Bombyx mori: one gene and its partner. The protein of the gene in region 1 purifies or fractionates together with the protein of each later gene. This does not show direct contact. Links are inferred from orthologs where the notes say so. Each region holds a gene or a part of one and is shown in the gene's direction. Other genes may lie near its edges.

Region 1 (4,177 bases):
ACGCATTATTGCTTCACGGCAGAAATAGACAGGGTGGTGGTACATACACGCGCGGACTGACAAGAGGTCCCACCACCAGTAATTACGCAAATTATAATTTTGCGTTTTTGATTTTTATTACACGATGTTATTCCTTCACCGTGGAAGTCAATCGTGAACATTTGTTAAGTACATTAAAAAAATTGGTAGTGGTGCGGGATTCGAACACCGGTGCACCGGATACGAATGCACCAGACGTCTTATCCTTTAGGCCACGACGACTTCTAACTTACTACTAACTAACGTAATATGTTTAATAATGTTATTATTTAATTTATCTATGTCTTCGTTTCTGTAATACTATCACATAATCTATTTCTTTTAATTGTCCTAAATTATCTCGTTTTCTTTATTCGGACAAAGTAATCTAATAGCATTTAACACTAGGTTCATAGCTAATACAGTGCATAGTGTAGCTAATGTAATGTTTTATATACTTAAAGACGTTTCATATAGGGTATTTTTAATGAAACATGCTTAACTACAATGTGTATTTTATTTTGTCTCAATCAGTTTTTTTATAAGCCTTTAAGATGTACCTACGTTGTCTTCATCCTTCCATTTGGCAATGTGATCTGGCATTATTTATTTTCTTTTTCGAATTCCTCCAAATAGATTGAAGTCTTTCTACCGAGATGTGGTAGTGGCCTTTTTAGACACCACATATTCTAGATAAGGTAAGGTAGATTGGAATCCTCTTAGTTGTTTTAGCATGACAATCGGCTTCTTGCATCACGTTGCCATTGTCGTATATATTTATTCCTCAATTACTCATGGTTTCCCAGCAACACGGTAGAAATTTACTGAGCGCTAATCTCAAATTTCTGGGAAGAACTAAAGAAGCCATTTTCAGAATTTTTTATCCCATTTTTTCCACATTTTCACAGATAGTAAACGGCTAATATGCCACCATAACTGCTCTTAAATATTAAGTAGATTATATATGATCACTACACGTTTAAACCTGACGAAAAACTAAATTAACAAAGAAAAAAATCACACTTCTTTTCGCCTCACATTCCCATCAAATTCACATTCACATCATATCCTTACGCAGTTTCCAGGCTTAATTACCATTATCCTTCAATTAAAAGCAGCTTTATCAGAGTCGCGTGCAGTCGGGTATTTATTTATTTATAGAATTGGTTCCACATTTTTGACAGGAATATTGAATAATTTTTTTGCCCAGACAGCTTTGCCTTAATCCTCAACACGTAGGTTGTATGGCTTTGTTCCGTTTGCCAGTCTTAGTTAAACATTCGTCAAGAATCAAGAAACGTCAGTCGAGTTCGATTTTGTTTTGGAAGTTTGCAGTGCGGTAGTTGAATATTGACGTCAAAGAAAATTGTAAAGACTTTGTTTTGAGCTTGTTAACAGCGCTGATCGATTAGCTTATACCTTTCAAAGAAAAACTGACGGTTTAGTGAAAGTGCATCTCAAACTATGGAGGTGGATCAATTTGCATTAGAGATTGCGTATCCAGAGGGTTCACGACTACCCCTCATCGACGAATCCTCGGTTCTAGGAACGCAGGCGCCGAAAGACAGGTATGGTTTTTCGACCGAATAAAATCGTTCATAAAAGGTGCTTGTAGGTACTCAAACTTTTCGAAAGCCAAAAATGGTATCGGCCGAAACTTTTGCGGTCGCCCACGCCACAAGCCTTGTTGAAACTATAATAAATTATTATTTTACCAAGATTACTATTTTGTTAGTCATATTGTTAGCCGTATAAGGTGATTGGAGCTTCGTGCTTATAATTATAGTAATCTAATTGGAATTACGTGACGACGTACGCATTCGTGACAACTACAAAGAAGTTATGATTAATTGTAGTCATTAATGAGGTATGTTACATTATTGATTTCAACATCTCCGATATATTTATTTTCATACGAAACGCTAGAAAATAAAAATAGTATAAATGAATGTTATAATACCAAAAAGTGTGAGGTTTTAAAGTTCTCATTTTTGTCTCATTAATTTCTTAATCAGAGTATTTCACTTTTATATTTGTAATATATTATCATTGTTACTAGCAGCAGCAATATTTAGTTTATGTTGTGTTGGGTGAAGAGTCAGATCCTACAACGTGATTACTACAAGATATCAGTAGACTGCCCAAGTTCTTTTTTCTGCTAATCGGTTCTTCCCATAACTTATTTGTAATATATATTTTGATATTTTACCTTTATAAATCAATCCTTCTCCTGTGCCCTGTGTAAATTTCACTGGTGTATTGTTAGCCCACACAGGACTACTACAGCTTTACCTATATCTACCATTGCAACATATTCAGCTTGTAATAAAAAACGTAAGGTTAGCAGTATTATCAATAAAAATTGCCTTTTCCAGGTAACTAGTAATGATATTGACGGTAGAAAGTGGAAATGTCGTAACTTGCTTTTGCATTCTGGATTTTCTTGTATAAAAAAAATACTGCTTCTGTAGTTTCGTTTTCCTATAATAAAATTTTTCATTCACCTTTATTTCATCCAATTTCATACCAATTTTGAACATTATATCTCTATAAATATATAAAATGAGTTATGAATTTTTGAAATAGTTTTATGGCTCCGGTATAAGGTCGGGTTTTTCAAGTTACGACAATTCTGCTTTCTTGCATCGATATGGTCAGTTACTATTCTATATCTCACTGAGTGAAGAAATAAGGGGAATATATTATTGTCTACAGGCTTCCTGTTTCAAAAAGTTAGACCCTCTTATGATAATGAATGAGTAACTCATGGCCCATCCGGTGTTAAGTGGTTACCGGGACCTATAGACATTTTAATTTGAATGAAGGTGGTCACTTTGTCATAAGAGTTTGAAATTTTAATTGATAAGTATATTTTAGTTTGAAAGTTTTGTATAGTCTTAAGTCATGTAGACAAGCTTGCTGGATTTATTGTGACCAGCCAGTTTCTTCGTTTTAATTGTGTTGCTAATGTCATAGTTTATGATTTGGTTGAACTATACAGAAAATAAAATAAATGAAACAATACCTTTGTTTTCACATGTCTTTGGATGCATAAAAGTGACCTTCATACTTTGAACTGTTTTAATTGAAATAAATCATTCAACATTCTCCTTCCTGGTTCTTTGTAAGCAATTAATTGTACAGTTCTCTATTACATAATCACATGTATGTGTGTTGTTAGTAAATGTATTTAAGAAATAGGACTGCTTTTTTTTTTTTTTAATTCACACCAGACACATTACCAACATTCGGTTAAGAGCTTATATGCATATCGACGCTTGAAAGGCAAACGTGACTAAGCGACAATGCGTGAACTTTACAGTAGACTAATTTAAAGTTAAAATACCTGAAAACAAAATTTATTTTAACGAAACCAGCTGTAGTAGAATCTAGCTAGTAGCAGTAGGATTGAAATGATTTTAATAGACCTAGAAATATATATTTTTTGCACATCGAAAATGGTTATTGCCTTTCATTTATGTACAAAGCAGTTATTGTCGCTTAGTCACTTTTGCCTTTCAAGCGTCGATATATATTTCCTTTTGTTAATGCCGAATATATCTATCTGCATATATTGGGGTATTTTTCTATAGTGTTCTTATTTCACCTTCTTCACCTTGATTTTCTAATTCAGTTTATCTCTTCATTTTCTGTAATTGTCATTGTCTGTCATTATCCATAATAAAACATGAAAGAGGAGTGCATGCGGTAGATATCTAAATGAAGACATGTGTGAATGTAGCCCCAGTGATTGATAAATTAAAGAGCGGACAGTTAGGGTGGTATGGACATGTGATGCATAGAGAGGAGATGCATGTGACTTTGAGATGTATGAAAATGGTAGTGCAAGGCAAAAGGGGAAGTGGTTGACCGAAGAAGACATGAAGTCGTGGCCTAAAGGATAAGACGTTCGGTGCATTCGTATCTCGCGATACATCAGTGTTCGAATCCTGCAGGCGGGTACCAATTTTTCAATACGTACTTAACAAATGTTCACGATTGACTTCCATGGTGAAGGAATAACATCGTGTAATAAAAATCTAACCCGCAAAATTATAATTTGCGTCATTACTGGGGGTAGGACCTCTTGTGAGTCCGCACGGGTAGGTACCACCACCCTGCCTATTTCTGTTGTGAAGCAGTAATGCGTTTCCGTTTG
Region 2 (3,657 bases), on another chromosome or scaffold:
GTGTCAATTACAAATGTTCATACAAAACGTTTCAGACATCGTCGTCGGGCGCGGTGTACGGCGGCAGCGCGCTGTACACTGCGGCTCCGTACACCGCCTACCAGCCACCGGCACAACCTAAGATCCAACCCAAAGAGCATCAGGTCCGTACCACTTTATATTACTTGTATCAAAATTCGTCGTGACCTAATAGATAAGACGTCCGCTGCATTCGTGTTGAGCGATGCACCGGTGTTCGAATCCCAGGCGGGTACCAATTTTTCTAATGAAATACGTACTCAACAAATGTTCACGATTGACTTCCACGGTGAAGGAATAACATCGTGTAATAAAAATTAAACCCGCAAAAATTATAATTTTCGTAATTACTGGTGGTAGGCCCTCTTGTGAGTCCGCACGGGTAGGTACCACCACCCTGCCTATTTCTGCTGTGAACCAGTAATGCGTTTCGGTCTGAGGGGTAGGGCAGCTGTTGTAACTGTACTGAGATCATAGAACTTATATCTCAAGGCGGGTAGCGCGTTTACATTGTAGATGTTTATGGGCTCCAGTAACCAGTTAACACCAGCTCACAGCTCACAGCCCACGCTGTGAGCTCGTCCATCCGTCTAAGCAATAAAAAAATAAAAAAATAAAACTCAAGAGGTACATTGCTAAGTAGCAATACCTCTGGTGAATGCTCGGCCGAGCTTGTACCGGTGTGATGGTAGTGCGTGCCGATTAGAAAGGGAAGGGCTTTTATTGTTTAGATGGTAATGAAATCATAGCCCACCCAGTGTTGAGTTTTTTATTGTTTGGATGGGTGAACTAGCTCCCAATCCACCTGGAGTCAAGTGGTTACTGGAGCCCATAGATATTGACAAATCTTTTCCGACGAAACCGTAATGCAACTAGGATTCGAAACATTGAGAGTGAAAAGACTGAAGAAGGACAAGAAATAAAAATATAATAATAATAACAACAACTCAAATACATGGCCAATAAAGAATTATTAAAATACTTGCTTTATTAATTTACACTAATTATCCAAATAAAAAACTGGCCTTGATAAAATAAAAAATCTGCTCATTTATGCCTCTAAGGCGGAACAAAGTTCGCTGGGTAGGCTAGTTTCATATAAAAATTTGTTAATTTTCAGTATGACAACTCAGTAGCGTCGAGCAACAGTTTGACGAGTACGTCCACCACGCAGACGTCGACAGCCAAGATTACGACGACTACAGGTACAAGCCACTGTTGTTAGAGTGTTTATTAGCTAGGTAGATGAGCTCACGGCCCGTCTAATGTTAACCGGTTACTGGAGCCCATAGACATCTGCAACGTAAATGCCGCCTTGAGACACCTTGAGATATGAGTTCTAAAGTCTCCGTTTTAACAATGGATTCTCCATCTTTTAAACCGAAAAGCATTACCGCTTCACGGCTGAAATAGGCAGGGTAATGGTACCTACCCGTGCAAACAGACAAGACGTCCTACGGCCAGTTCAATATAACTGAAGATAAGTTTGCGAACCGACAAGGAATTCTAACCTTACCTTACCTTATGAACCTTAAGATTTTATTGTACAGTTAACAATTTTTTAAATGATAAATCATTATGTTAATTTTAACTTTGCTACTTTTTGTTCTTTGTTTTCGTTTTATGACATAAATAACTAATTCTAATTCAATTAATGTATATTGTTGTTTGATATTTTAATTAATTAAAATATATTTACTGACTGCATTTAATGTAAATAATTTTGAATAATATTTGCATGCCGACCTGGTAGAAACACGTTGTTCTATAAAATAAAAATAACTATCAACAACTTTGTAAACTGTGTTTTATAGCTAATAAAGTTTGATTGGATTTGTTTTGATTTGATTAACATTTGAAGACGAAAAATGTTGTAACAGTTTTCTGGGGACTGATGTTGGGTCCCTGCAGTAGAGACCTGCCAGTAGAAACGATGTAAAAAGTTCATTCGTCATCCCGTCATTCTAAATAATTTCGAAGTCTTGCTGCTCAATAATTTATAAATGTGTATTTTGTTTATTACTGCAGTAGGAGCCGCGGCAGGAGTGGGGGGCGCGTACGCAGGAGGAGCGTTGTACAGCGGGGCCACCACTACCCCCTACGCCGCGTACGACGACCAGCTCATGAGGTCCACGCATCCGCACCATATGGTAATACTATTTGTTCACTGAGAATCACAGGTGGCTAGCTGATGAGTTAGACACAGATATTTTGGTGACAACGAATTGCTTTATCTATACTAATATTATAAAGAGGAAAGATTTAATTGTTTGTTTGTATTGAAGCTACATCTTTTTTGAAAAAAATAGGGATCTTTACTAAAACTCCATTAATGTAACCCAAGGTGTAAAAAAATTACCTAAAATATTCTTAACTTCGCGTGCCCTGCGAAAACTATTGATGATAAAATAAAATAATGTACTATGACTTTGTAGAACACATTATTATTTACACAAACACAGCGACAGCATATGTCTAACTATTATAATTATGCCTCAATAAGTGTTCTTTTATTTAAAAATAATAAAACTACGTCAAATATCGTTGAAATTTTTGTTAAAGACCCGAGCAGAACCGGACCGGGCCGCTAGTATATTGTACCCTTCTTTGTCGTATCACTTGTCAGAGCGGTCGAGGTCATCATTCAGTATCATTGCTGTGGGTAGATGTAATGCCACCAACTGCAGCCGACTTGATTTGGTCGGTCCATCGCATGAGCAACCTCCCACGCGAAATAACTTACCACAAAAAAATGTGTGCTTAGTGCGAGTTTTTTAACGTTCTCGATAGTGTAAAAGTTAGCTCATATTTGTATGGAATGGGATTGTTTGCCTTCGTTTGCCGCTAGGGGCGCTTTTCCGACTGCATATAAAATTTTGCTCACTTTTACGCTATCGAGAACGTTAAAAAACTCGCACTAAGCATACTGATCCCTTGATATTCGTATGAGGTGCCGCGTTGGATGTGCGCTCGCGTGCTATAAACCTGATTCTATAGAAGCAGCTAAACGCGAGTGCTGTGACACAAAGCGACGTAACGTTGTGTTGTTGTCCCAGGGCGGCTACTACGAGGTGGGCTACGGAGCCCGGGACGGCGCCTTCGGACTCAGCGCGGGCGACAGGTTCGGGCGCACCGACGCCGCCTCCCCGCAGCAGGTACGCAAGCCCTCATTACAACTCTGCTAATTGCTCCCGTCAAATTATAATGTTGCCATGGATAATATCGTGTAATATTGTAATTATACTGAGATCTTACAACTTATATCTCAAGGTGGGTGGCGGCATTTACGTTGTAGATGTCCATGGGCTCCAGTAACCACTTACATCAGGTGAGCTGTGAGCTCGTCTACCCATTTAAGCAATAAAAAAAGGAAAAAGCGGTTATGTCAATATTACAAACAGACACTCTAATTTTATTTATATATATGTATAGATTTCTCTATAACAGTAAATTTTGTTCCAGGTCCCGGCAGCCGCTCTACCTCCGGGATACGCGTACTTCGCGTACCAACCGCCTCCCACCACATACCAATACGGAGTGTATCCCACGGTGAGATATCTGCAGCTTTTAATGAGTGACTAGCTGTACCCGTCCGTTTCGCTAGGCATTTAATATTAACATAAATATTTCTCACCCCAA

Evidence for each region. The genes of interacting proteins can lie anywhere in the genome.
Region 2: the proteins of BAG family molecular chaperone regulator 2 (region 1) and protein lingerer purify together in Homo sapiens (affinity purification with mass spectrometry; 3 studies listed by BioGRID and IntAct, with this or other methods). This does not show direct contact. The link is inferred for Bombyx mori from reciprocal best matches to the Homo sapiens genes BAG2 and UBAP2.

Annotation. Positions count from the first base shown.
Region 1 is NC_085125.1:2,380,940-2,385,116, forward strand, and holds the start of BAG family molecular chaperone regulator 2, read left to right. Parts: upstream 1-1,275; 5' UTR 1,276-1,482; coding exon 1,483-1,586; exon of another isoform or gene 1,587-1,880; coding exon of another isoform or gene 1,881-1,885; intron 1,886-4,177. UniProt on the Homo sapiens protein: Co-chaperone for HSP70 and HSC70 chaperone proteins. Acts as a nucleotide-exchange factor (NEF) promoting the release of ADP from the HSP70 and HSC70 proteins thereby triggering client/substrate protein release.
Region 2 is NC_085134.1:1,867,847-1,871,503, forward strand, and holds part of protein lingerer, read left to right. Parts: intron 1-35; coding exon 36-143; intron 144-1,138; coding exon 1,139-1,223; intron 1,224-2,046; coding exon 2,047-2,168; intron 2,169-3,074; coding exon 3,075-3,173; intron 3,174-3,480; coding exon 3,481-3,567; intron 3,568-3,657. UniProt on the Homo sapiens protein: Recruits the ubiquitination machinery to RNA polymerase II for polyubiquitination, removal and degradation, when the transcription-coupled nucleotide excision repair (TC-NER) machinery fails to resolve DNA damage. May promote the degradation of ANXA2.